7 linked regions of the Canis lupus familiaris genome follow. The protein of the gene in region 2 interacts with the protein of the main gene of each other region in a pairwise test. Links are inferred from orthologs where the notes say so. Each region holds a gene or a part of one and is shown on either strand. Other genes may lie near its edges.

Region 1 (4,182 bases), on a different chromosome or scaffold from region 2:
GTGCGGTCTGGGCACACTATTAAGGACGATACCCCCAAGCCGAGATATGCTCTTAGCACCAGAGCATCCAAGACGGACCTCAAGAGCACACGAGGAAGTGCAAAGTAACAGTAATAGTGGGAAATTAAATGCAGAAGGGATAGGAGAGGAAGAAACGTGAAGCCCTTGTCCAACATGTTCTTATGTAGGTTATTCAGAAGTATTTATACCAAACACCAAAAGCTAAATCCTAAATGCTGAAAGCTGCTGCCCGTGTTACCACCGGCCCAGAATATTCCCGACGACAGTGCTGGCATTGAACTCTTCAGAATCCTCTGTTTTTCTCATCAGTTAGATGGTTTACCTTCTGCTGCTTTGTTATCTAGCTCGGGGGGGGGGGGGGGGGGGGCGTCTCAGGTGAAACTGGGGTCCAGGATTCTAACAAATGACTGAGCACGCCTGGCTTCCACCCGGTTGCTTTCCGCAGGCTTTGCTCCTCTCAAAGCATTTTAAGCCGCGAGGTTAAATCCTCAACGTCTGCTCTCCACTTCCCAGCTTATTAAAATGGCTCTTCTTGCCTTCTATCCCTGACCAACTTTTCCCCCCTTTCAAAACTGACCCTTTGATTATCAGCATTATTACTACTTAAATAGCCATGCTTTTTTTTTTTTTTTAAACTCTAGCTTCACTAAAAATATTCCTTCCTCTTCTTCGCTCCCTCAACTCTTGGCGCAAGCACCTAGATCTCCAGGGCTCACTTGGGCTAAACGGGGTTCACCGCTCCTCTGACTCTGGTACCTCACCGGCCCCCGCCCCGCCCCCGCCCCACCCCCACCCACGGCTCTCACACCCGCACAGAACCGGGGAAGGAGCTGGGCGCTCACCCTAGAGCGAAACTGGGAACTCTTTGGAGCTACCGCTGCTGGAGAATGGTTTTGCCTCCTTCCGCGACGTGAAGGACTTGCTGCTCTCTACGGGCAAGGACAATGTCTCCTCTACCAGACAACAAACTTCCTGAGGATGGACGCTACCCTTCTTAGTTCCTTTTACACGCCCCCATTCCCATCACGTTGAGACACAGGATGGCTTTTGAAATACAATTTCTTGGGCAAAATATCCCTTCCCAACTTTGAGTTTATACGATAAACAGGAATGCCCTTTAGCCAATTAGGCAACGAAGGGGTTAAACTTCAGCCACCTGATGGATTCTGGGGGTTTCCTTCCTCGACTTCAGAAATTAAAACGACCGGGAAGGGAAATTTTGCCCAAGGTAAAGATGAGAACCGTTAGCTTCTACCGTCAGGCTTCAGCCCCAAACAAGAATGGCTGCCCACGTCCGCAAAATGTACCAAACCCCCTAACTAAAAATGGCTGGCCTGGATTTCTACCACTGGGCTACCTCTCTGCCCAACTCCAAAATGGCGCTCACTAGCCTCAGCAAGAGGAGCGAACCTCCCAGCACCCTCTCCGGCCCGCAGCGTCAGGTGACGCGAGCCCCAGCCGGAAGTGAAGGAAAAAGCGCCTCAGCCCGCGGCGCCTGCGCAGAAGGGTCTAGACGCTGTGAAGCAGGAGGCACTTGGGATCGTCCGCAGGATTGGGACTGCTACAGAGGCCGCCACGGAGCCCGCCGGAGCCACCGTTCCTGCTGCTGCTGCCGCCGCTGCCCGAATCGGAACTGTCGGGCCGCAGCCGCCGGCAATGCCGCGAAGGAAGGTGAGGGGAACAGGACAGAAGGGATGGCGGGTGTCTGAGGATAGTCGATTGAGCAACGTGACGCAGTTAGCCACGCCTCACAGTGGTTGGGTTCCAACTTCCCGCTTCCCCGAACCTAGCTCAGCAAGCCTCCCTCCTGTCCATACCCAACAGAAAAATGTGGGCCCGATCCTGGCCTCGGCCTGTGCTTGCAACTATTCCCGCCCTCTGCTTGCCTGGCTCGGAGGCGTTCTTCTCGGTAATTGGTCGCTGAAACGCCTAGCAGCATATTGATTGGCTGGTGGCACCGCCCATTTGGGTCCAACGGTCACCTCCCCGCGTGCGGGGGCGGTGTCGGGGCCCGGCCCTGCCGCGCTCCCACTGGCTGTGGAGAACGATCCCTCCTCTCATGATTGGCTTGGCTTGGCAGTCTGTCCCGTGGGGGCGCGGTGTAGCAGTAGCGCCATTGGGTGGCGCGAATCCCCGCCCTTCCGGCCGCTGATGCTGATAGGTGCATAGGCGGCGTTTTGGAGCATCCTTCCTTTCCAGGCGGGGGGCACAACAAAGCAGAGGACTGGGTGGTAGGGAACCAGCGCCCACTCCCGGGGGATCCCACTCAGGCCTGTTGCGTCTGAGCCCGTAATTTTTCCCTATTGGCCCAATTGGACAGCGGCCAGAAAATGCCGTTTGTAAAGCAAAAACTTTCTCGAGTTAGATGGGATGTCTGAGGTCACCTAGGGACACCCCCATCCCTTTTCTTTGCAGCTGTACAAACAGGCCTGATGGGAGTGCCCCCAAGCCACTCCCATTAGGCAGTAGCCGACGGAGCCAGGACTACAGAACAAATCTAATTCAGTTCAACACATGTTTATTGACTACTTGCTACTGTGCTAGTTGCTGGGGATTCACGAATTAATTAGACATGATCCCTGGCTTAAGGAGATCACAGTCTGATGGGGAAAACGGACATAAAAAACTGTAGAAGGAGCTAGTAAATTCTCTACTTGGGGGTATATGGTATATACTAAGTGTTGTGGGAGGGAAGTGAGGTAGCAATTAAGTATGCTTTGGAGTAAGATGGGAAGTAGATGGTGGAAGCCAGAGAGAAGAGCTGAATTCCAGGGTCAAACCAGGAGGGAATGGTCAGGGATCGAACTATCTAGGTAATTGGACTAGATGACCTATAAGATTCCTCCCTTCATCTTAGGGATTTTCTGTGACTCTGGAGCCTCTGCTTCTTTCTGGGCAGGTTACCCTTGATATATTTGGAAAGTTGTGTGGTATTCTTGCTCATTTCTGCAGAAATATTTCTTTTCACAGAGGTTTTCAAATAAAGTATTTGTACCTTTTATCTTCTTAAATGGTCTACATTGGTAGACGGTATTTATGTTAAGGCTCACCAAATGCTGGAATAGTATTGGTGCCTTGGAATAGGTCCACAGTCCCCTTTCTGCAGTTTCCAAATACAAAGAGCTTTTGAAAATGTAAGTGTTTTTAGTAACTTACTTGGTTGGCTGAATCTGTCCTGAACTATCCTGAGGCTACTTAGAGTTTTTGTGTGTCTCATTGGGTGTGATTGTTTATATGTCCTGCTGTAGAAATAATACTAATGTGTTTGATGATGAGGCGTTACTTGCGGGATATATGCAAAATATCTCTCTTCCAAAAAGCCAAAAAGTTATGAATTTCAAACACAACTGGCCTGAAGGGTTTTGAATAGAAAATAAGGGGCTTGTAGTTTGAAGTTTTGTATGGTTTTCTAAGCAAATTCTCTATCCTTTTTGGCTTGGTAAAGGGTATAGTGTTAATGTTCAACTGTTAAAAGTTATCTGTATGGCTAATCATGGTTCAGGAAGCTAATAATTGACAAATAATTATTAATTAAGGAGATGATAATATCTCTTTTTGAGTATCTACAAGTCTTCATGTGGAAGCTGCCTTTTTTTTTTTTTTTTTTAAGCACTTTGGTATTCGTGTGGAGAAACTTCATAGTTAGACCACATAAGGAAGAAGGATTTTAGTCTTTAAGTTCTCTTGGTATCAGAGTTGTGGACCATGATATTTAGAATTAGTAGATGTTTAAAATAATGTGATGGCTGTTTGTGGAGACTTTGAACAAAAGCTGCTCTAAAGTTAAAAGGACTCTAGCATTGATTTCTCACCACCATGGACTTTAAGTGCATAGTTATGTCAGCCAGACCATTTTGAATGGGGTACTTTTATTTCCAGTTTGTAGTACTGACTGATAAATGGACTTATTACAGAATTAGTGTTAATAAAGTAAGAATTAATTATCTTTCGTTCATTTAATAAAGGTGCTTTATTTGTAGGTTGTTCCATTTTAAATGCTTTAAGAAAAGAGTGTTTGGCAGTTGAATCCTTCCTTAGTATTTTCAGTATCATGGTTCATTTTATTTCCAGTGTTAACACAAACCCACAGAGTAAATGCTTCTGTGCTAATGTCTGGATCTATGGTGTTACAGAGGAATGCAGGCAGTAGTTCAGATGGAA
Region 2 (4,073 bases):
CATTGAAGAAATGAAATAAGAATGCAAGAATGTTGGCTTTCATTGAAGCTGTATTCGTGGATTTATTATACTTTCTCTATTTTTGTATATTTCTAAAAATTTCTCTAAATTTACATTTATTTATTTATTTTTGTATATTTCTAAAAATTTCTCTAATACAGTTAGGCAACGTGAATATTTTTTATTGCCAATCTACTTCTTCTGATTTAACAAAAGATACTATATCTCCAGCAGCCCCTAAAGCCTAGGAGAAATTATAACTAGGTGAACGGTTTGTAAAAGCAGGATGGGTTACCAAAGTAAGGGTGGTTGAGTTGTTAAAGAGACCAAAGCTTACAGGGGAGATAGTATGACATTAAGCACAAAAGTGGCAGAATTTGGGAATTTGTAACATGTTATTGGGTTTATCTGAAAATAAGGTAGAAAGACTGTACCCTGTAGACCAGACTTAAGGGTGACTGGTAAATTGTTTGGTTGGATTTCACTATCTGAAACAGACATAAAAGAGTAGAAGGGTGCTTTGGAAGAAATACTACCTGGCAGTGAAGAGGCCTACCTTTTTCCTTAGTAATTCTGAGAAGATCATTTCACTTTTCTGGGATTCAGATGGTTATAGTACCTGATGTCTTGGTACAACTCTCTCATATGCTGCTCTGCCAGCTATGAACAGCTAGAGATTTTGGATTAAACACTATACAAGGTCCTCTCAAGATCTAAAAGTTCCTGATGCTAATGAATGTGTATGATTGTGCTTCTTGAAAGGAGGAATTATATCTACATACCAAAGAATCCAAATTTCCCTATAGGATGATAAAGTCTTAGATGATAAGAAGAAGTAATGGTAGGGTAGACTGAATATAAACTTTTGTGTCTGCCAGTCACACAGAATTCTTTGTTGCTAGCCTCTGATCTACTTAGAAATACAGACTACCTAAGCAAGTGGCACTGCATTTACCCTTGGTGTTTAGTCCAGTGAATTGTTAGACTGGCCTATAACTTTGGGTCAGGTATAGTTCTTTTGGCTTCAAGAAGCAGCTTCCACAAGATAGCAGTTTATTTATTAGTAGCACGTGCTTTGTACATATCTAATTAAAACAAATAGTTCTGTGTGTATGTGTAAAACTCATAATGTTTTATTTCTAGAGGAGAACATTATAAGATAGGATTTATTCTAATGATTCTTAAAATCAGCTTTCTAGGAAGTCATACAAGTTTTGACACAGGAATGCTCAAATTGCCTAAGGGTTATCCATTCTTTTAAATATAATTTTCTTTAACACCTATTGAACTTTTTCTTTTTTCATTTAGGCAACGTGAATATTTTTTATTGCCAATCTACTTCTTCTGATTTAACAAAAGATACTATATCTCCAGCAGCCCCTAAAGCCTAGGAGTCCAGTAAATCATTAAACAGACTCATGACTGAAAAACAGGTAAACTTGAAATATTATATATATATTATAAATAATATATATAATTATATATAATAACTATATAATTATATATATATAATTTGATCATTCAAAATGTGTGGCATTATTTACAGAGTATTTGGTTTTTATGAGTCATAGTAGATAGCCACTGAGATGCCCACATAGCTTTTGGTTCCTAAAGCAGATAGCTTCAGTAATTTTAATTCTGGATCATGAATCTTTGTGACCAACAACATAAATAAGGGAAAAGATTGTAGGAGGAGAAGTGTGGAAGGGATAAAGAAGGTGAAGAAAGTCAGCAGTCAAAAGGAAAGATTTGGTGCTGTTAGTAATAGTGCTATTGTAGTCATACCAGTAGAGAGCTTAATGTTTGGGGGCATTTGAATGTGGAGAGTAGTATTTTTATATGTACTTTGTCTATATTAATCTTTAAGCTATTACAATATTTAATACTATATCACTAGTAAAAAAACTATTTTATAAATTATATTTTTCAAGCACTTAAACATTGATTGTAAATTCACTCAGATTACCTTTTCAAATATACTCACATAACTTAAAAAGCAAGTAAATTAACTTCACACAGTGATTTCAAATTGATCATTGTATTTACATTAAAAGACTATTAATATCATGGGTTTAAATATCCAAAAAATCATCTCTATTTTTATTCTTATCTGTATTGTATATTCTTACTACCTTTTCTTCCCATTATTGTTTTTATTTACTTAATTTAGAGAGTTAGGGAAAAAAAAATTTAGAGAGTTAGGGTCCCCCTCTCAGGTTTATGGTACGAATAGGTATTTAGAATCAGGGATACAAAACTTGAGAATATCTTTCAGAGTGACGCTACTAGAATCAGTTACTTAGATGGACAGACTCCTTTTTATAGTTAGACCTTGTCCACTATACAAGGGACTATCTACATCATTGGCTTTGACTATTCAGGCATTTTGATTTTTTTTGGTGACCTTATTCATTAAGTGGTACTTGTTTCTGTGTGACTTGCATTTAATTTACTGTTCAGTAAATATGACCTAATTGGCAGCTGTTTCTTATCTTTCTTTAAACTTTGGTCAAACCTTTTTTTTTTTTTTTTTTAAGATTTTATTTATTTGAGAAAGAGCAAGAGCCTGCACACAAGCAGGGGTAGTAGGGTCAGAAGGAGAGGGAGAAGCAGACTCCACACTGAGCACAGAGCCTGACATGGGTTTGATCCCATGATCCTGAGATCATGACCTGAGCTAGAATCAGATGCTTAACCAGCTGAGCCACCCAGGCACCTTGCAGCTGTTTCTTTTGAGTAGGGCCTGGTGTGATTTGGTTAAGCAAAAAAACCCTAAGGTTTGTTTGGTTCATTGAAATTACAAGGTGTTTTTTGGTTGGTATTTTTGTTTCAATTTATCCATTACAGCCTATATGTATGAGTATGGAATTATATAATGTGCTTTATTATTTGTGCTTATTTGCATTCTTTTTGATCTGCTAATTTTTTAGACATTTGTTTTAATTTTAATCATCATGTGTGCATAAAAAATTCATATTAAGAAACTTTGGAGAAAAAGTTCCATTATTTTGTAAACAAGGAAATTATATTTGAGAGGGTGTTTCTTCACTTTATATATTGAAGTTGATCGTTCTCTCACTCCTTGTAATTACAGCGAGAAGAAGCAGAATGGGAAAGCATAAATGTGCTGTTGATGATGCATGGCTTAAAGCCTTTATCTCTAGTCGAAAGAACTGATCTTAAAGGTAATCAAATCCTATTCTTGCTAGATCCTATCCTTTCTCATTATGGTAAAAAAATTGTTTTTCCTTTTATTTTTTTATTATTATTTTTTTTCCTTTTAAAACTAATTTTTATCTTAAATTTTTTTGCCTTTTTTACTATCTGTATTATATTAAAAAATGTAGATCTCATCGTTTTTGATAAACAGTCATCACAAAGGATGAGGCAGAATTTGAAAACATTGGTGGAGGAAACAACACGTCAACAGAACATGATCCAGGAGCTCATAGAAACTAATCAGCAGCTTAAGTAAGAAAACAGAATTCTCTTTTGAATTGTTTGTATACCAGTGGTATGCATTCTAAAAATAATGCCTTGAATCTTGAACTTTAATTTTCTATTTTGACTAAATATTAAGTTTAAAAAATATTTTTAGTAGGTAAATCTTTCAGTAATAGCTTAGCTTAGATATGTAAGGGTGCCTTGTATTTCTTCCATTGGTTTGTGTTATATGACAGAAATTTTAACAATGCAATGAAATTTTAGAAATTCGTTATGTTGTTAGATGAGTATGTTTGTTAATGTGATTTCCTTCTATACTAAGGGAAGAAATCATGTGTCTGTTTTTAGAAATGAACTTCAGCTAGAACAAAGCCGAGCAGCCGATCAGGAACAACGAGCTAATGACTTGGAACATATTATGGAGAGTGTGAAATCCAAAATTGGTGAATTGGAGGATGAATCCCTAAATAGGGTTTGCCAGCAACAGAATAAAATAAAAGATCTTCAAAAGGAATATAAAGCTTTACAGGTATTATGTGTTTTCTTATATGATAGTAGTAAAACAGCTCATTAAGGTCACAGGTGACTTCTATGTCACTTAATTCAGTGGTCTTTATCTTATTGACAGA
Region 3 (3,303 bases), on a different chromosome or scaffold from region 2:
CTTGGTGTGCCCAGCCCAGTGCCCCCTCCGGCCCTGCCTCCGTCTCTGCGTCTCCACTCGTTCGCTCCTCACTCTGAGGTCAGCCCACAGTCCGCTCTTTGAGGGACCTGTCCTGACCCCCGACTGGCTGCTGTTCCCTCATGCTGTCACACCGTTTGTCCGGACAGATGTTGTCCTGTTGATCTACTCCCTCCTCCGTCCTCCGTCCTCCCTCAGATGGTGGCCCCCAGAAGGCAGCACCCTGCCCACCATGCCCCCTGCAGCTCCAGCCCCTCACTCAGGCAGGACCTTCTGAGTCCAGGGGATTCCAGTTCCTGTGTTTCAACACAAAACTGATGAAAGGGGCCCCTTCCCAAGGAGTTGAAGAACTGGAGGTGGGGCTGAGCCCCTCTCTGCCTTCCCATCACAAGTCCCCAAGGTGGGCACCTGGATCTTCCCTCCTATCAGACACTTTGGTAGAGCATCTTCGTGCCAAGACTTGTTTGTGGTACAGTGTACCCCGTCGTGAACAAGACAGGAACCCACAGCAGAGACAAGGAGCCCACTTAATGAGGCAGTGGAGGGCACTGGGGGTGTGGACACGCAGCCCTCGCTTGGGCTTCAACTGGGAAGAAAGGTTTCCCAGAGGAGCTGATACTTGGGATGGGTATTGAGGGATGTGTAGGAGTTCACAGAACACATTAGAAGAAAGGGGGGCATTGCAGGTGGAGGGAAGGGCATGGGTAGAGGCCCAGAGGGGAGAAGATGTGATGTGATTTAGGAAGCATAGGTGCAGGGAGCCCAAAGAAGGTGGGATCTGGGCCAGCTCACCCGCTCTTGTCCCCCCTCGCCCCCAGGCACCAAAAGCCAAGAAGAAGGCGGAGAGCTGGGAACGGAGCGTCGGCACCCTTGGCAGCAGGCCGCAGCTGTCAGGCCTCGTTGTGGTGAAGAAAGCAGACCTGGGTCGCAGCACCCAGCAGGGCCAGGTGTCCCCCACCCCCCAGGGTAGGTGTCCCAGGGTGCTGGGACCGCTGTGCGGTTCTTTGGGCAGCCACCAGGTGGCAGCACACACCACCCCCAGTGCAATTGGGGAGCTTGGGAACCCACTGCATGTAGGGGAGAGGGTTGCCCCCAGGATGCAGGGTGGAGGCCCCCTAGGCTAGCTCTCCCTCTCCCCCAGGCCCAGCGAGGAGCGGGAAGGCAGCTGACTCTGCAGCCTGGACGCCTGGTGCCTCCTCCCTGAGCCAGCTGGGAGCCTATTCCGACAGCGAGGACAGCAGTGGCAGCAACTGAGACCCCAACCCAGGCACGTCCCCAGGTCAAGGTCCCATCCAGCTTCAGCTGGTGGTCAGAGCAGGAGGTCTCGGCTGACACCTGAGCCATGCATGGTGGACAGACCCAAAAGTCCTCTGAGGCTGGCCAGACCAGCGAGGGCTTCGGCCGAGGGACTGTTTCTCCCTGTCCCCCCACCACTGACCCCTAGGACCTTGGGGTCCCCAGCGCACACTGCCGTCCTCCTGGCCCTCCGTTTGGGGCTGTGGCATCCCTGGAATGGCCCTCAGCTCCCGGCAGGCCCCTGCTGTACTCTCTTGGGTGGCCGTGTTGAGGGCAGGCAGGGAGCCCAGCCACCCCCATTAGCTCGTCCCCTGCGGCCACGACAGAAGGAACTCGCTGTCCAGCCGGGGCACCTTCTCTGCCAGCTGCTGAGGAGAGGCCACAGAGGCGCACGATGCGGCCTCCTCGCTCCTGGAAGCCACAAGATTGGGAAGGTGCTGATTAGTGCAAGTTTGGGGAGAATTTGTTATGTGGCCATAGTGCTCCAGGATGGTCACATGACCAGTGAATCGAGTCCGACGCTCAGGGTCTTTCAAGGTTGCCACGTTTCAGCTCTGGTACAACTCTCTCCCCCTTCACAGCTTCCTAGTTGAAGGCGGTGTGCTCCCGCCAGGCCCCCTCGCCACCTGACCCCCGGCTCTGCTCTCCCGCCCCTCCCGGGCTCACTGGCCTCGCCCTCCTCTCTCTCTCTCTCTCTCTCTCTCTCTCTCTCTCTCTCTCTTTCTCTTTCACATGCACGCAGCACGCACCTATGCACACATGCGCACACGCACTCATTTGGCTTTTGGTACCAAGGCTTTGTGTGTCTCCCGCCGTGTGTGAGCAACAAAGCCCCCCACTTTCAGGATCCACTTTCCTACAGTGATTTCGTGCTTCAGTGTGACTTGAAGAAGCGAACCAGGATCCAGCCAGGCCCCAGGTCCTCCCCTCACAGCTCCCGGCTGTGAAGACAGGCCGTGGGGGCCCCAGTTTCAAGCGCCAATGGTGCTGGGCTGAAGCCAGCTCCCTGGCCGCTGGCCAGAGCTGATGCACGGGGCACCCCACTCCCCAGTCCTGCCCTCAGCCGCATCCTGTTCACAGCTTCCAGTTGGCCGCGGCAGGAGGATTTACATCACAGGAGTCCATGCACTTACAGATGGGTGCCCCGCGCCAGAGAGCCAGCTGTGGGCATTCCCAGCGTGCCCCTGCCTGCCTCCCCAAGGTCAGTGTCAGTGTCGCACGGTGCCCCGGACGTGTGTGTTCATCCTGGCGGCTGGACTAGAGCAACCGACCGAAGCACTTGTGCAAGAGATTAGTAGGAGACTCAGGGCCTCCCTGGTTCACGCATTCTTGCAGACCCTTCCCTGAGCTCCTGTCCTGTGTGGCCCACCCTCGTCGCTGTGTGCAGGTGCCATCTGTTACTATTATTAAGATCATCGACTCTAACACATGGAGTAGCGAACCTGGCCCACAGCCTATTTTTGTGAATAAAGTTTTATTGGCACAGCCACATGCCCATTTGTATCCATGTAAGGTCCAGACGCTTTGCTCTATGGTGGCAGAGCCAACAGGTTTACGAGTCGCTCCCTGACAGTGGGACTTCGTCAGCCTCTGTCTGGGTCGCCCAGCTCTACACTTCCTGCTTGTTCCCCACAGCCTCCAGGGGAAGGTGGCCAACACCCGTCCACACCTCGATTTCCAGGCTCACACCGCACCTGCGACTCTGCTGCCTGGGGTCACCCTGAGGACAGAGACCACCTGCCCTTGCAGTGTGGCACAGGGAATGAGGTACATAGGATCCGTTTAGTGAGTAATAGTTAACGTCTGTGAAGTACTCCCCACTTGCCAAACCTGTGCTAAGCTGGTTGTGCAGATTCACTCGTTTGAGTTTCCCAAATCAAGTCGCTCACTCAAAACATACATATATGTATAATTTATATATAAAATAGATATTATAATATGCATATAATTTATACATAAAGTTTATAATATAATTAAGTTTATATGTAA
Region 4 (4,086 bases), on a different chromosome or scaffold from region 2:
GGGTCATGAGTCAGGGCCCACTGAGTGCTTTTAAAAGGGGATCCTTTTTTTTTTTTTTAATCTTTTTAAAATACTGGTTACAATCTGTGAGTACCTCCCCACTCACAGCTTGAAAACGGTCAGTGCACATGAATGGGCTGTGTCGTTGCTGTTACCATGCAGTGGTGTGATCACCACAAACTGGTATCTGAGGTGCGTCACTTGGATTAACCGCTTTTATACTCACAGCAATCCCAAGAAACAGGTGCTATCATCAATTACCTCCCTCTCCCTCAACTTATTGGCAAAAGGAAAGTTGGCAAGGCAGACACTTGCCCATGTTCCCACAGTCACTGAGTCACAGAACCGGCTTCTCCAAGCCCCACGGATTTTGTGCAGGCCCTGAAGAATGCCCAGGAGGGAAAGAGCCCCTCGCACTGGAATCTGCCCAACAGGGACCAGCACTCAGCATCCCCAACAAGCCAGTATGCACCTAGGGCTGCACTGGGGCCCATCTTCCCTAGGGCTGGAAGTTACACTCACCTCAGGTGGAGGCAGTCCAAGCAGCCGGGCACCTGAGAGGTCCAGGTCACTGATGGTGGTCACGGTGACTGTGTGATTGGGGTGGTCATACTGCACTGACTCTGTCTTTGCTGTCACCAGCCTCTCCAGTTCATCTGCCTCCTCTGTGCAAGGTGGGCACAGAACCAGGTCTCAGCCTCAGAGCACAAGTAACCAGACTCTAACCCCCTGCCCAGCCCTGGAGTACAATGGCCCCCTCTACTCTGGGAGAGTGTCCAGGAAGTCACCAGCTCCAGAGCCTGGTCTGCAGACAAATGTAAGTGATTCAACTCCTTCCGATACTCTGGGGAGACTTCAGACCATCTGGTTCTCATTTAGGACAGACCTGGTGTGACCCCAGCAGCTGCTACTACCCATTCCCCTCTACCCCCAGTCCCTCCAGGCTTCAGAAACTGGGCTTTCTGCTCAGGATCACTTTACCAAGAGGTTGGTCTTTCCTGTCTCTGATCCACCCACATTTATAGAGGGTCCTGAACACCAGCCCTGGCCGATGGCCCACGTCACCACCAAGACCCCTGGAACTAGGAAATTAGCTTCTGTGCAGCCCCCACACCCCTCCCCTTCCATCCACCAAGGGATAAATAAGTCTAGGTCTGTTGGCTTTTCTTCAGCTCAGGGCAAAGATGTGACTTACCCAGAGCCTCCTCTCTCTCTGCCAGCATCTTCAAGTATTCCTGATGGCGCTGAAACCAAAAGGGAAGGAAACACAGTGAGGATGGCCTCTCCAGCCAACCCCAGGCAGGAGCTCATAGTGAAACACCAGGAGATTCCATTCTACACCTTCCCCAGACCCGAGCCCACATGCAGCATGTACACACTGCTCCCCGGGCCTGCCCACACCTCCCCTCATTTCTGCAGATGCCCCTGTTAAGGTCACCCAAGGATGTGAATCCCTTGGGAATCAGATATAGATATATAGATATAGATACACACATGCACACACACACTTTCTCTCTCTCCCTAGCCCCCTTCCCCCCCAGCCTTCCCCTCTGTACCTCCTCCCGGAGCTTCTTCTGCTCCAACTTGAGCCGATGCTTGATCTCCTCAATGGCTGCCTTCTTCCGTTCCACCTTGCGCTTATGGAAGCCAGTCAGGTACTCCCTACAGGAAAGAGTCGAGGGAGAGTCAGGAGGACACACAGGAAAGAAAGGTTCACCCCAGGAAGAGAAAAACCACTAATACTGTACCCACTCTAAAAATGCACACGTGTTAACTCACCTATTCCTCACAACAGCTTGTGTGGTCGGTACCAATGCCCATTTTACAGACAGGGACACTGAGGCAGAGAGAAGCTAGACTACTTGCCAAAGGTCATAGGGAGTGTAAGGTCAGGAAGAAGAGCGAGAGGCTCCTTCCACCCCCATCCCTCCAGGGCTCAGCTTCAACAGGGCCAGGCAGGTGGGCCTACGAGCCTAGGACAGGTGGGGGCCCCTCCTACATTGCCAAATCCCATGACCTAGTGAATTAAGCCACTTCCAGCAGAGCTTTTCAGGCCACCCTCACGGAGACACCCACACACTTTCCACTGGAGTTCACCCCATTTCCCCAGGACACCTGCCCCTGGACCCATCTGCAGGGCCCCTGGACGGCACCTGCCCTCCCCTCCTCTATGTGATCTTGGCTCCTTCTCTCGGGAGCTGGCCGCACCATTCCCAAATGTTGGGGGGTCCGGGGAGCAGCACTAGGCTTTTCGCCGACCCACTACCACACGGCAAAGTGGCGCTCTGGGCGGGGCGGGGAACCTCCGACGGACTTGACGCAGAGGCCTGGGGGTCCCCTAGCCACCGCCGCCCACCCCCACCCCCACCCCCTGCCGCCCACCCCCACCCCCACCCCCCGCCGCGCGCACTGCGGGACTCGGGGCGCAGAGCCGGGGAAGGGGGGCGGGGCGGGCGATTCCACCCCCCAGGCCGGGGGGGGCTGCGGGCGCGTCCATCCCGCGGGGGGCGTCGGGGGGAGCCGCGGGCCGCGCCGAGAGGGCGGGACCGGAAGGGACCTCTGCGTGAGCGCAGCCGCTCGGCCCGGGTTCTGGCCCCGGCCCCGGACGGCAGCCCGAGGCAGATCCGCTCCAGCCTCCGCACTCACCGCCGCTTCTCTTCGTCGAAGCTGAGGACGAGCCGCGGCCGCCGGTCGTCGCCATCTCGCTTCTTCTTCTTGTTGCGGCCCATGGCGGCGCGGCCTCCGGCGGCGCGGCTCCCGCACGCCTAAGACACTTCCGGGTGTAGCGGTTTTTAGGTTCCCGGGGGCGCCTCGCACTCCCGCTGCGCAGTTCCGCTCCTCAGGCCCCGCCTTTTAAAGGGGCCGCGGAGCCCGCCTCCCCAGCCCCATGATTCCTAACCCCGGCCCATTCCTAGGCTAGCGGCGGTGAAAGCGAGTCCCGGAGCTCAGGACGTTACGGCTGTGGTTCCGGACCAACTGCCCTCGCTTTGCCGCAGTTACCCATTTGTAAAATGGGAATGATTATAGTGACTTTATGATTGCGAAGCAGTGTTTTTTTTTTTTAAGATTTTATTTATTTATTCATGAGAGAGAGAGAGAGGCAGAGACACAGGCAGAGGGAGAAGCAGGCTCCATGCAGGAAGCCCGACGTGGGGCTCGATCCCAGGACCCCGGGACCCCGGGACCCCGGGACCACGCCCTGGGCCAAAGGCAGGCGCCGAACCACCGAGCCACCCAGGGATCCCCTGGAAGTGGTTTTCAAACTTTGACGTTCTTCGGAATCCCCTGCACGGCTTGCGGAAACCCAGATCTCCTGGCCTCGCCCTAGAGTTTCTGATTCAGCGGGTCTGGAGTGAGCCCCATAATCTGCGATTCTGACTCGTTCTGGGGGTGTGTGTGTGTGTGTGTGCGCGCGCGCGTGTGCTGATACTGCTGGTCCACGGACCATACTTTGAGAACCATGAGGAGGAGGAGGAAACGTGAGTTACGTAACACTTCATGTAAGTAATACCTGCCACACACGTGCTTGCTACACAAGTCATCTCCCCTGTCTGTGCCTCAGTTTCCCCAGGTGTGGCATTGGGGTGTAATAATAACACATTCTCGGGACGCCTGGGTGGCTCTGCGGTTGAGCATCTGCCTTTAGCTCAGGGCGTGATCCTGGGGTCCTGGGATCAAGTCCTGCATCCGGCTCCCAGTGCGGAGCCTGCTTCTCCCTCTGCCTGTGTCTCTGCCTCTCTCTGTGTCTCTCATGAATAAATAAATAAAATCTTTAGAAAAAAAATAACATATACTCCACTGAAGACGAGGGCGTGCATTCAGTAAAACACTGCCTGACGGGGACTTTTGGTAACTGGGATCACACGCCTGAATCCCCCGTTCTTAAGTCACACCTGCTGGGTGCTGCACACAAGCTGCTGCCCTTGCTTTTAAAGGACGGCCCGGGGATCCCTGGGTGGCGCAGCGGTTTAGCGCCTGCATTTGGCCCAGGGTGCGATCCTGGAGACCCGGGATCGGATCCCCCCATGTCGGGCTCCCAGTGCATGGAGCCTGCTTCTCTCTCTGCCTGTTTCTCTGTCTCTATCT
Region 5 (3,500 bases), on a different chromosome or scaffold from region 2:
GGGTCATCAACATTCATATATAATTTTTCCAAAAATAAATTTATGTTAGTACTTTCCTGCTCATCCTCCTTTTCTACTTCCCTTTTCTTCATGTATAAAAATTTAGACATTTTTGAAATACTGGTGTTTGTACTAAGAAAGTAGATAGCTCTAATTATTGGGAATAAATTCTTTTGTAATTTTTTTCCCAGCAAAATTGAAGAAAGACCTAATTGAGCTACCAATTTAAAAGTATTTTTTAGGGGTGACTGGGTGGCTCAGTCAATTAAGCATCCAGCTCTTGATTTTGGCTCAGGTCATGATCTCAAGATCATGAGATCAAGCCCTGCATTGGGCTCCATAAAAGGTATAGGGCCTGCTTAAGATTCTCTCTCTCCCTCTCCCTCTCACCCTCCCCCCCAATAATAAATAATAAATAAAAGTATTTTTTTAAGATATTATTTATTTACTTTATCATGAGAGACCCAGAAAGAAAAGCAGAGACATAGGCAGATGGAGAAGCAGGCTCCATGCAGGGAACCTGATGTGGGAGTCGATCCCGGGACTCCAGGATCATGCCCTGGGCCCGAAGGTAGGCGCTAAACCTCTGAGCCACCCAGGGATCCCCAATAAAACTATTTTTTAATGATTCATCTTTGTGACTTGTGGACCACATCATCGGAGATATTCAAACAGTGACATCACTACAACAATACTCTATTTCCATCTATCTATTTAGGGTAAGAAGGTTTCTTAGGGTTAAATCTATAAATGTTAAATACAGGAATTGAATTAATGCTGAACATTGTCACAATCTAGCAGTAAGATCCAGAGATACATGAGCTAGAAAAACAATCGATGCATTTCAAATAAATTTACTTTGATGTGTGATAATTATTAAAATGTGTAATGTATTCCTATATTATTTTAATCAATTACATAGTAATATTAGTAATGGCAACTCAATTCAGAATTTTATTTTTTAGAAAGGGAGTAAGAGAGGGGCAGAGGGAGAGGGAGAGGCAGGTTATAACAAGAATTACTGGGCTCCGTACATGCCACAAAAGACAGAGTGTTTCTCCAGTGAAAGACAGTTTGGGGGATAGCTGAAGGGTTTATATGAACTGTGTATAATCACTTTATTAACAGGAGCTTCCCCCTCTCTCCCTTCATGTTTATCAGCATCGGAGAAACTAATGTAGAAAGGAAGACCAAGAAAAAAAGGTATGTGTGGCTTTAGGAGTATTATGTGGATAATAAATAATACTAGTGAGAGGAATGGGAAGAATGCTTTAAAAATAATTGTGATAAAGTTTGGATCTGAAGTCTCTTGTTTGTCATTCCTGATTAAGTATCATCCTTATTTCATGATCTGTTCCTCTCTTTACCCAACTGGACCTTTCTGCCTTCACTTTTTTTTCTCCAGCTTTCCAGAGGCTTTCTCCCTGGAAATAGTAAATAATTTCTCTTAAAAATCTCCTATATTAGAATAGGAAATATTATTAGACTGGTAAGAAATTGTTGACCAGCTATATCTGATTCAAAGTAAAGATGTTGAAACACCATGCTACCTGAGGTTTAAGAAAGCCCAGTTGTTCCACTGCAACTTTATTCTAACATTATTCTTCCTGGATCATAGTACAGTAGGAGTACTTATCTTGAATTCTGTCCAAGATAGTTAAAGTGCCAAAGTAAAGGACATTGTGGTTGCCACGGGATTTCTACAGTTATGCAATCCCCAGCGCTTCGGGTCTAGTGATTCCATGCTAGCAGAGCTTCAGTGTATGTAATCGCTTCCCCATGAAATTGCTCTCCAACAATCTGTTAGGTGTCAGCTTCCTGTGCGTGTAACTCCTCACTGTCTACTAGGTCTAAGAGTGTAACCAGTTCCAGCAGCAGTAGCAGCGACAGTTCAGCCAGTGATTCTTCATCAGAGAGTGAAGAAACGTCTACCTCATCCTCCTCAGAGGACAGCGACACTGATGAAAGCTCCTCCAGTTCCTCATCTTCATCCTCCTCCACAAGCTCTTCCTCGTCCTCTGATTCAGACTCAGATTCCAGCTCTTCCAGTAGCAGCAGCACCAGCACAGAGAGCAGCTCTGAGGATGAACCACCAAAGAAGAAGAAAAAGAAATAGAACGCCATCTCTCTTGTACTGCTGGACTCAAAAAATTAATGTGACTTTCGAAAGGGGTATTTAGACTACATTAAGGCCATATAGGGTAACCAGTCAAAATTACTGGAGTTCAAAAATTTCTAAATGTTTTACATCAGAAGAGCATAAAGAGTATTAATGGATTATATATAAGACTTTTTTTATTTTAAGAGTAAATCTTGTTTTTCTTTTTTATTTTTAATATATATCTCTAAAACTTAATCAAAGCTGAATCCAGTAAATCTGTTTTGGGGATGAGACTTATCTTTTCTCCCTGTGAGATAATTGCCATCCTTTGTTATATGTTAGTGCTATGTACCAGACATATTTTCAGGATAATGCATCAGAATATCTGGCAGTGAATTTCTTTTTTTTTTTTTTTTTGGCAGTGAATTTCTAATGCTTTTGGCTGTGTGTTATTATATAAGATTTAATACATTGTTACTATAAAATTAGAAGTGTTCCTCTTAAAAATTGTGCCCTATTTTTATGTTTATGTTCAGAAAGTTATTCTGACTTCTTGTCCTAAATGAAAAGCTCAAGGAACCTGTTATTATATTTATACCTTTTGGATGGTACAAATGTCAAGTTATTGTGTTATATCATCCATTTTCTTCTGGCTCTTAGAGTTACTCTTTTTTTTTTTTTTTTTTTTTTTTTAAGTTCGTGCTGGGCTCGAACTCACAACCCTGTGATCAAGACTTGAGCTGAGATCAAGAGTCAAATGCTTAACTGAATGAGCCACCCAGGTATCCTGTAAAGTTACTCTTTTTCTGAGGAAAATCAATCAGAAGAACCTAAAAAGGAACCAAAATTCTGAAACTACTTAGGAGTCTAATCTTGGTGCCTTTTGATAAATTCTGTGTATTAGAAAAGAGTCATTTAAAAGCCTAACTTAAGGAAAAGTGATACAAGTATCTTTGTGTTGTTATGCTATAAAAGGTAGGAGAGGAAAAAATAGGTACAAAGGTAATTTTAACAGAGAATTAGGGCAATGTTGGTTGCCTTTTATTAAGTTTTTCTAAGCTTTCATAAGGATTGCCTTTTACCATTTTTGCAATTGTGGTATAAGTTTATATGGCAGCTGGTCATATATGACATTCTACTGCATAAATATGAATGACTTGGACTAATCTGGTGTGTTTACATAGCATATACACAGTTGAAGTGTAGCATGAAAGATTAAAAAGAAATATTGCACAATGTTTCTTAAAATACTCTGCTGTGGTGAAATTATTTTGTTTCGCATGACATCATTCTGTGATGTCTTTTAAGCTCTTTGGAAAGAGTTATCATTTGTAGAAAAATCTTGATTCGGGCTAAATATGGGTTTTTAAAACTATGAATGTTGTCTTTTTTATATTTT
Region 6 (4,235 bases), on a different chromosome or scaffold from region 2:
CTAATTTTTTAGAAATTAAATCATATCTGAGGAGACAGAAAAGAATGCCTTACCTGAAACTTGGTCATTTTCTCCTGCTCCTTCTGGGGAAGGTCAGAATCCTGAGGAGGCATAACTGGGAAAGGACAAAGAAAGCCATGAGATGCAGGCCAGGGGTGCCACAAGCCCATGTCGATCTTTGCAGAAATTATACAATAGCTCTCCTACTTCCAGGCAGATGTAGCCACATATAGCACGGTAAGCAGAGCATGGAGCAGATTGCAACTACTAAGTCTGTCAGCCTGGGGCCATTGGACAGTGAACAACTGTACAGTTCACTGTACAACCAAATGCAGTATCCCTACTATAAGAATTTCTCATCCTGAGGATGATAGAAAATGAATAGCACTGTTAACATGTAGATTTTTTTTTTAAGTGGGTTCTACAGCCAAAGACCTAGGTTTAAATCCTAGAAATGATACTTACCATCTATATAACATAGGGGGTGTTAAAGAAAAAACTCTCCGTGCCTCATTGAGGTCATCTGCACATGAATATAAGAATTGCAAATCATACCCACCTCATAAGGTTGTTCCTCGGATTAAATGAGTAGATGGAAAGTTCAAAGAACCAGGAGTCCCTTTTTCTTGCAGCTGCAAAAAAGCAGATGATAGTCTGCATCATAAAGTCTTATCTGCAGATGTCTTTTCCATCAACAGCAAAAAAGACCTGAAAGATATCTGGACTATATGTATTAATGCTCTCCTATGAAAATCATCTTTATTCTCTGAAAATCCTAATTCTGACTTAAAATTCCTTCTTATCTAAAAATAAATAAGTACATACATTAATAAATTTCTTAAGAATTTGTTGCTCACCTAATAACATTTTATCCACACTGTTATTAGCATCATTTCCAATTTACTTCATGAAGTAAAAAACGATTATTGGTAAAAAGCCTTTTATCCTATGAACATGGAGGTAAAAAATAAAGATACAAAGTATCAAGACAGAAGATAGATTGAAAGGCTCCAACATTTGTCCAATAGAAGGAATATGAGGAAAAGAGAACAGAAGAAATGTCAGAGAAGTCTTAATTCAAAAGATAATTGCTAAGTTCATATACACCAGTTCTGAACAGTGTAAATAAAAATAAATACACTCCTGGGATGCCTGGATGGCTCAGTCAGTTAAGCATTCCACTCTTGATTTTGGCTCAGGTCGTGATCTCAAGGTCATGAGATCCAGCCCCACCTTGGGCTCTGCACTGGGCATAGAGCATGCTTAACATTCTTTTTTTTTAATATTTTATTTATTTATTCATGAGCGACACACACACACAGAGAGAGAGAGAGAGAGGCAGAGACACAGGCAGAGGGAGAAGTAGGCTCCAGGCAGGGAGCCCGACGTGGGACTCGATCCCGGGTCTCCAGGATCACGCCCTGGGCTGCAGGTGGCGCCAAACCGCTGCGCCACCGGGGCTGCCCCCATGCTTAACATTCTTTCTCTCCCTCTCCCCTGCCTCACTTCACTTCTAAAATATTTTAAAAATAAATACATCCTGGAGGATCCCTGGGTGGCTCAGCGGTTTAGCACCCTGAGGGCAAGGTGCCCTCTTGCCCTCCAGTTTAAAAAAGGTGGTGGTTGTGAGGGGCCATCATCAGATATCAAGTATGTGTTAAAACTCTACGTTTCTCAGAATGAGAACACACGCTGATTAAATTCAGTATCTGGGACAGACAACCGTTTTTTATTCCAAACCAGTTGAGAGCAAACAAAAAGAAACAAAACTGAAGAAAGGAGAGCAAAAGAAATATACAACGCGATCAATTTAAAAACAAATACATATAGGGCACCTGGGTGGCTCAGCAGTTGAGTGTCTGCCTTTGGCTCAGGGTGTGATCCCGGGGTCCCGGGATGGAGTCTCGCTCGCATCAGGTTCCCCGGAGGGGGCCCGCTTCTCCCTCTGTGTCTCTGATGAATAAATTAATATTTTTTTTAGGAAAGTATATTTAGAATACACACACTGACACATGTTAACAAGATCAAACATGCCGCAGATTGGTGCAACAAACACTTGCAACATTTTCCCAGCAGTAATTTACTCAGGGAAGGAAACCCAATGAACTGAAAACGGAAGAGGACAGACCAAGAAAGTACTCTGGCTGGGAGGCACCCGGGGCGGCGGGTGGAGGAACCAGGGGGTCCGTCCTTCCTCTCCTTTCCCGAGTCGGGGACTGTGAGGAAAGGGGCCCCGCGGCCATGGCCAGGGCGAGCGCGGGGTCCTCGGGCCCTCCCGACGGAGAGGTGGGTAAAGCTCGGGAAGAGCTCAGCGTCCGGGAGGACGACCGCAGGGCCGAGTCATTGCTCCCAGAGCCCCGGCCTCCCTGCCTCCCTCCCTCCCTCCCTCCGCTGGGGCTTCCAGGCCAAGGGGCGCGGGCGGCAGAACTCGCGTTCCCAATAGCAAGAGCCACCCCGCTACCCGTGCCGCCACCGTTCTAAGCTTTGAACACGTATCGTCCCGTTTCCTGCGAATCACAACCCTCCCGTGTTTTCCCGCTCGCTCGCTCCTTTGCGGAGGAAGACCGTAGGGCGCAAAGAACAAGTCGCCAGGTAGTGTACCGATGCGAGCAGCAGCGCCGCTTGGTAAGAGGGGGAGGAGAGCGTCTGCCCTCCGTGTCTCAGCCCTCGCCGGCGGCCGCGACTTCTCCATTCTAAGACGGCCGGCGAAGTAGCGACTAGTCCCACGCTCAGGCCGGGAGGGCTCCGAGGCGTCGGGGGTGGGGTGCAAGCCTGACTCACCTCCGGACTTCCGAAAACATGGCGGCCGCCTTGTTTTTCCGGGGCGGAAGTGCCTCCGACTCCGCGGCGCCCCGGAACTACATGTCCCAAGACGCCCCCAAGGGGAACAAGCGCTGCAGCGGATCCTTGGTTCCCGACAGAGTTGAGGACTACAGTTCCCAGAGCCCCCAAGAGGAGGGAGAACTATGTCAGCCCCCGTAAGCCACCTCCTTCCCCACCCTCTAGCAAATCTCCCCTTTGGTAGTTCGAGGACTGCAACTTGCAGAATCCGCGTTATGGTTTCTTATTTTGCAGGCATAAAGCAGTTCTCTGGCGCCAGTGAAGTTGAGTTTTTTTTTTTCCAATTGACAAAACATACTTAGCTGATACTCGAATAGTCAGTCTTAGAATAAAATAAGTTTGTAACAAGCAGATCACGTGAATCTTTACAAAATAAAATTGTATCCACTACTACTAGACAAAGAAGGGATAAAATGATAGTCTTTATTTTGCAGTTTCAGTCACTTTTTAGATCTTAAAAAAAAAGGATGAGAGATTTTTAAAAAGATGCAATGAAGACAGAATATATTGTAGATGTCAACTTTTGTGAATAGCACAAATAATTCAGAACTTGACTTTTAAGTTAACTAAGGCATACTCAGAGTAAAAAGACAAGCTTCAGAACACATGTATGATCAATTTCCCAACTGGGGGGTTTGCAATCATTCCTCAGATTTCTGAGTTTGAAGGATGAATACATTATTGTTAATTACATTTTTATGCAATGGTCGCTGTAAAGAACTATTGTTAATTGCTCAAATCTATGATAGAACTGATGTTTCAAAGAAATAAAGATGGGGAGCAGAGAGGAATACCTAGAAATATCCATATATTCAATACAATATATGTTTTCAGATCTTATTTACTGAACGTTAGGCAGGAAGTCAGGCATGACTGACTACAGGAGAATGGGCCTTAGATGTCCTGATGGAGAGCCCCAAACAAGGATTGCCCAGGGACCACCTTATCCCATCCTATTGATTTGTGTTTACAACATCCTGGCAGAGGAAGAGTTAAGTTTGTTGTGCTTGTTGCACTTGGGCAGAAAGCAGCCTCTTGTCCTTATTTGACCTATCTCCAGAATAGAAATAGTGTCGCAGTTTCCTACCCTGCCCAGGCATTTCCAATATATTTTGGGAAAGGACATGTGTAGTTGGCTAGTTATTATATAATCCAGGTCTGTCACTCAAATGTCAGGACCCTAAGACCAGCCCAAAAGAAAAAGTTGAGATAAGCCCACACCCTGGAGTATGTCCTGGGCAGGGGAGGTGCATTGTCTCTGTTGATTGGCTTACTCCTCCCTTGGAGTGTACTTACACAACTTCACTTTCATTTCACTGTCCTGCAATTCCTTTCTATGCCAGTGAAAAGGACTGAGGCTTCTTTTCCTTTTCCATCTACCTCTCAATAAAAAA
Region 7 (4,167 bases), on a different chromosome or scaffold from region 2:
ATATGTTAGAGGCCAGGTCACTGCCTGGAGAGAATGGGGAGAGCCTGCTTTCTTGTATGCCCTAGAGCCCAGTCTTAGCTGGAAGCTTGTTCTTTCTTTGCTGGGTCCCCCACTTTACTCAGGGCTCAGACAAGTAGAGGTTCTTAAAAATCTGCATTTTTAAGACAACCTTGGGAGACTTTTGCCTCAATCTTGGCAGCTAGAAGTTGCAAATCAAATACTACTCCATTAGAAAACTAAAATAATAATAATAATAATAATTGAAAGCTGCACTGGAATTATGTCTCCGTGGATTTGAGATCCACTGTTACCATGCAAGGAGGGTGAGGGGGTTGAATTATTTGTGGAGGGGTTTGAACAGGGCATGTTTTTGTTTGTTTGTTTTGTTTTGTTTTGTTCTTTTCCCTGAAACCTGGTAGGTGTCTGTGAGACAATCTGTGTCACCCAAGGGATCTGGGTTTTGTAAAAGGCAGGCAACCCGGGCAAGGTGTTCATTCTGGTGAGATCCCATTTTGTGAAATGAGAAATGCCAGCCCTGAGTTATTTCCATAATCACTCTGAGAAGAGCTTTAAGGCCTTCCGTGATCCATGTCAAAGGCTGAAAGGGAGGGCACCTGGGTGGCTCAGTGGTTGAACATCTGACTTTGGCTCAGGTCATGATCCTGGGGTCTTGGGATCGAATGCCGCATCAGGCTCCCTACAGGGAGTCTGCTTCTCCATCTGCTGTGTTTCTGCCTTTTTTTCTGTCCCTCTCATGAATAGATAGATTTAAAAAAAAAAAAAAAAAAAAAAAAAAAGCAGAGAGGGAGGTTTCCAGAAGCAGCTATTTTGAAGGGGGCTCTGAAGAGAAGATTTGCCTAAGAAAAAAAGAAACGGATGGGTGTGGTGTTTACCACCACTCTCATTTATTGAGTTGAATTTGGGATTCAGTGACAGCTCTGTGTCCCGGGCAGGGCAGCTGGCTCTTGGGTTAAGTTCAAGTGGACTATTGATTCTGCTCTGAACACACAAAGTTCTCCCAGTGTCCCTTCTCTCTCTGTCTCCTGCTGATGTTTGGGTTTAGGTCTACAAAGCTCCAGACGCCAGGCCTGATGTCCTAGCAGAGAACTCTTTAGAGCTGCTGGAGTGCTGGGCATGGCTTTAGGTGGGGACCCAGTGAGCATTGTTTGTTTCTTACCAGCTGGGGATTGCCAGCCAGACACTGAATTTCTGGTGTGCTTTTAAATGCTCAAAGACACAGTGCTCTGAAAAAGCAGCAGCCGGCGAGGAAACCGCTGGAGGTGGGGAGCTCTTGGCTGGTGTGGTCTCAGCTTCTGACACTTATAACTGATGGCCCCCTGTCACTTCCTGTCATGCAGCCCAAGTGGCGGGGAGGAGTTCCTTCAGGGAAACCATGCTCTGCTCAGCTCAGAGAATCCCGGTCTGCAGGGCTCCGTCGCAATTAGGGGCGGGGGACTCTGCGTGGATGAGGCCAGAGCGCCCCATGGTTTGGTGCTGCTTCTTTGTCAGGGCTCAGGTAAGCTCCCTGTGGCAGAGCCAGGGATGAATGGGCTCCCAGCTTCCACCCATGCCTGGCTGGGCGGTGCCAGGAGCTGGGGTGCAGGAGGGCGAAGCTGTCTTTCACCTCCCAAGACAAATGGGCAGGGAGGGGCTTTACAAACACCTGGAATGATGGAGGAGGACTTCTGTCTGCTTCACGTGAATCAGAAAAAAAGCTGTGTGGTTGTGTTTAAGACCACAATGGTTGCTTGGTTGGAGATGGTGAGTTAAGCGAGCGTCTAGCTGTCAGTGCTTCCTTTAGCATCTGTGATTGGAGGAGAGAGTGTGTGTGCGTGTGTGAGGGGGGTGTCTTTCACTCTTTGTTCCACGATGCTACTGTTTTAATTTTCATAAGAGATCTGTTTTCAATTAAATGGGGAAAAAAAGAGGGGAAAAAAGGATGCATCTGCCGTCTGGCGTTTCTTTGTTTGGGGCGGGGGGCGTTTACAAAGTCACAAAGTAGATTTCCAAGATCTTTTCTTCTCCTTTGAGTTGAAAGATGGCTGAAATCAATTCTGGAAATTCATTCTGCTTGGAACAACTTTTTTGTAGGTTTCCTCATCGTGAATCTTGTGAATGTGTTCATCATTGAGAAGATGAAGTCAGATATTAGGGGACATCCAGACTCACTGGTGTTTTCATTAAGAGTGTTGGTGCTTAGTTTGGTTATGTCTGAAAGAATGGCTGGAAATGTTACATTTCTATGGGCTGAAGAATGATTAGGAGGCCTGAAGGTGACTCCCTCTGTCCTTTTTGTTTGTGGGTGGGTATTAAAGCTTTGGATAAACCACCACTATTTTCCAAAGAAAGTGTCCACTGCTTTTTCTACTCCTCTCACTGGAATTCTGAGGCTGGTTTTTGTAATGCTAACTCCAACTCTCATACATGACCATTCTAGACATACATTTTAAATCTTTTTGTGTGATTTGGGTGGTTTTACGGTCTTTCTCCTTTCCCATCTGACTCATCCATCTGTTTGCTCACCTGATAAAGAATCATTTTTGAGCCTTTGAGATACAGAAATTGACATTTAAAATGACTTACTACAATTTAGTGATAGTTAATGCAACATAAATAAAAAATAATATAATACTAGCCAACATTTGTTAGATACCTTTTTTAAGATTTATTTATTTATTTATTCATGATAGACACAGAGAGAGAGAGAGGCAGAGACACAGGCAGAGGGAGAAGCAGGCTCCATGCCAGGAGCCCGACGCAGGACTCGATCCCAGTACTCCAGGATTGCGCCCCGGGCCAAAGGCAGGCGCCAAACCGCTGAGCCACCCAGGGATCCCCCTGTTAGGTACTTTTCACATTAGTAAGCACTTTACTCCCATTAGCTCATGAAATTCCTACAACACTATAGAATTGACTATTATTAGTATCTCTAATTTTAGATGGTAAAACTCCGATTTTGAGAAGATAAATAATTTGCCCAAGGTCACCTAGCTGGGGAGCAGTGGATCAGGCTTCAAACTCAGGCAGAATGGATCCAGAAATGACATTCTTAGCTATTAGGTGCTGCATGAGGATTTCAATGATGGGACCCTTTCTACATCATCTGCAGCATCTTCAATAACACTTTGCTTTCCTATCCTTTGGCAAGTCAGCCTGTTTTGGTGGATGTTTGCTGTGGTCCAATTAGCAGCTACCAAAGGGGCATCTAGACAAATTACTACCTTCTCTGGACTTAGCTTCCCTACCTGTCAAATGGAAGTTTCTCTAAACTCATTTTAGTTCTGATACAAATCTAAGGTGTGCAAATATCTTGTACAAAAAGTCAAAAATAGGTCTCACATATTTCCTATTTCAAAGCTAAATGAGTGCACTTAAACATACATTTCCCAAGGAACTGGAACTCACAATGTAATTGGCTGGGTGGCTGTTGACCTTTATTTTGCTCTTGAAAATATTACTGACTAAATATTTATTTCTCGGTTTGAGAGTTTTCAGGGAAAGGATCTGGAGGAATGGGGACTGGGTGTGGGAGGTCAATTGGTAAATGGTAGAGAAAAGGAGGATACAAACTCTTTAAAGATCTCATAAATCCATCTTCTGAGATTTGGCCAAGGTAGTTCTGTATCAGTGGAGAAATGGTAGAGTGTAATGATTAAGGGCATGGGTTTTAGGACTACTCAGATGTAGGTTCCAACTTTGCCTCTTATTAGCCATGTGATCCTAGGCATATTACCAAATATCTCTTAGTCTGTCTTTTGCTCTGCAAAATGGTGATAATAAAGAACATCTACTATATAGGACTGTCATAAGGAATAAATGAAATGACCCACAGTAGTGCCTCACACAGAGCCAGAACTCAGCAAATGTGATCCATGTCCTAGGTCTTATTGACTGTAGAATGTTGGTGGGCACCAGAGACATGAATCCTGAGTGCATATTTATATACAGAGATGACCAGGGTTCGATTTTGTTGAGGGAAGGAAGCATATTCCACGGAAGGTCAATACTTTATTTTAAAGCCCCAATTCCAGCCATGTTTTTACAGCTTGGCCAGGATGCCAAGTAGTAGCCACGAAAAGGGAAGTTGATTCAAACCAGATTCTATAAAGGCCTTTCTTGATAGAACACTCAGAGGTATGACTCGGAGAGGGCGAGGTCAGGGTGGTG

Evidence for each region.
Region 1: the proteins of CEP70 (region 2) and KAT7 interact in a two-hybrid assay, tested with the Homo sapiens proteins (2 studies listed by BioGRID and IntAct). The two-hybrid records come from large-scale screens. The link is inferred for Canis lupus familiaris from reciprocal best matches to the Homo sapiens genes CEP70 and KAT7.
Region 3: the proteins of CEP70 (region 2) and YJU2 interact in a two-hybrid assay, tested with the Homo sapiens proteins (2 studies listed by BioGRID and IntAct). The two-hybrid records come from large-scale screens. The link is inferred for Canis lupus familiaris from reciprocal best matches to the Homo sapiens genes CEP70 and YJU2.
Region 4: the proteins of CEP70 (region 2) and NOL12 interact in binary tests that used the Homo sapiens proteins (3 or more experiments, as listed by UniProt). The two-hybrid records come from large-scale screens. The link is inferred for Canis lupus familiaris from reciprocal best matches to the Homo sapiens genes CEP70 and NOL12.
Region 5: the proteins of CEP70 (region 2) and ZCCHC10 interact in binary tests that used the Homo sapiens proteins (3 or more experiments, as listed by UniProt). The two-hybrid records come from large-scale screens. The link is inferred for Canis lupus familiaris from reciprocal best matches to the Homo sapiens genes CEP70 and ZCCHC10.
Region 6: the proteins of CEP70 (region 2) and ZNF227 interact in binary tests that used the Homo sapiens proteins (3 or more experiments, as listed by UniProt). The two-hybrid records come from large-scale screens. The link is inferred for Canis lupus familiaris from reciprocal best matches to the Homo sapiens genes CEP70 and ZNF227.
Region 7: the proteins of CEP70 (region 2) and ARHGEF3 interact in binary tests that used the Homo sapiens proteins (3 or more experiments, as listed by UniProt). The link is inferred for Canis lupus familiaris from reciprocal best matches to the Homo sapiens genes CEP70 and ARHGEF3.

What each region holds. Positions count from the first base shown.
Region 1 is NC_049230.1:25,791,379-25,795,560, forward strand, and holds the start of KAT7 (histone acetyltransferase KAT7), read left to right. Parts: upstream 1-1,382; 5' UTR 1,383-1,397; coding exon 1,398-1,692; exon of another isoform or gene 1,693-1,876; intron 1,877-4,154; coding exon of another isoform or gene 4,155-4,182. UniProt on the Homo sapiens protein: Catalytic subunit of histone acetyltransferase HBO1 complexes, which specifically mediate acetylation of histone H3 at 'Lys-14' (H3K14ac), thereby regulating various processes, such as gene transcription, protein ubiquitination, immune regulation, stem cell pluripotent and self-renewal maintenance and embryonic development.
Region 2 is NC_049244.1:35,301,043-35,305,115, reverse strand, and holds the start of CEP70 (centrosomal protein of 70 kDa), read left to right. Parts: upstream 1-1,273; 5' UTR 1,274-1,418; coding exon 1,419-1,433; intron 1,434-3,094; coding exon 3,095-3,185; intron 3,186-3,347; coding exon 3,348-3,471; intron 3,472-3,792; coding exon 3,793-3,973; intron 3,974-4,073.
Region 3 is NC_049241.1:55,766,507-55,769,809, reverse strand, and holds the end of YJU2 (splicing factor YJU2), read left to right. Parts: intron 1-836; coding exon 837-984; intron 985-1,159; coding exon 1,160-1,272; 3' UTR 1,273-2,803; downstream 2,804-3,303.
Region 4 is NC_049231.1:27,924,004-27,928,089, forward strand, and holds the start of NOL12 (nucleolar protein 12), read right to left. Parts: upstream 2,801-4,086; 5' UTR 2,730-2,800; coding exon 2,647-2,729; intron 1,663-2,646; coding exon 1,557-1,662; intron 1,245-1,556; coding exon 1,196-1,244; intron 666-1,195; coding exon 523-665; intron 41-522; exon of another isoform or gene 1-40. UniProt on the Homo sapiens protein: Multifunctional RNA binding protein that plays a role in RNA metabolism and DNA maintenance. Participates in the resolution of DNA stress and the maintenance of genome integrity by localizing to sites of DNA insults.
Region 5 is NC_049232.1:21,261,205-21,264,704, reverse strand, and holds part of ZCCHC10 (zinc finger CCHC domain-containing protein 10), read left to right. Parts: intron 1-1,128; coding exon 1,129-1,203; intron 1,204-1,848; coding exon 1,849-2,116; 3' UTR 2,117-3,500.
Region 6 is NC_049222.1:111,821,377-111,825,611, forward strand, and holds the start of ZNF227 (zinc finger protein 227), read right to left. Parts: upstream 2,801-4,235; 5' UTR 2,782-2,800; intron 2,774-2,781; exon of another isoform or gene 2,602-2,773; intron 1,895-2,601; exon of another isoform or gene 1,836-1,894; intron 633-1,835; 5' UTR 560-632; intron 116-559; 5' UTR 114-115; coding exon 54-113; intron 1-53. UniProt on the Homo sapiens protein: May be involved in transcriptional regulation.
Region 7 is NC_049241.1:33,695,477-33,699,643, forward strand, and holds the start of ARHGEF3 (rho guanine nucleotide exchange factor 3), read left to right. Parts: upstream 1-1,367; 5' UTR 1,368-1,393; coding exon 1,394-1,516; intron 1,517-4,167. UniProt on the Homo sapiens protein: Acts as a guanine nucleotide exchange factor (GEF) for RhoA and RhoB GTPases.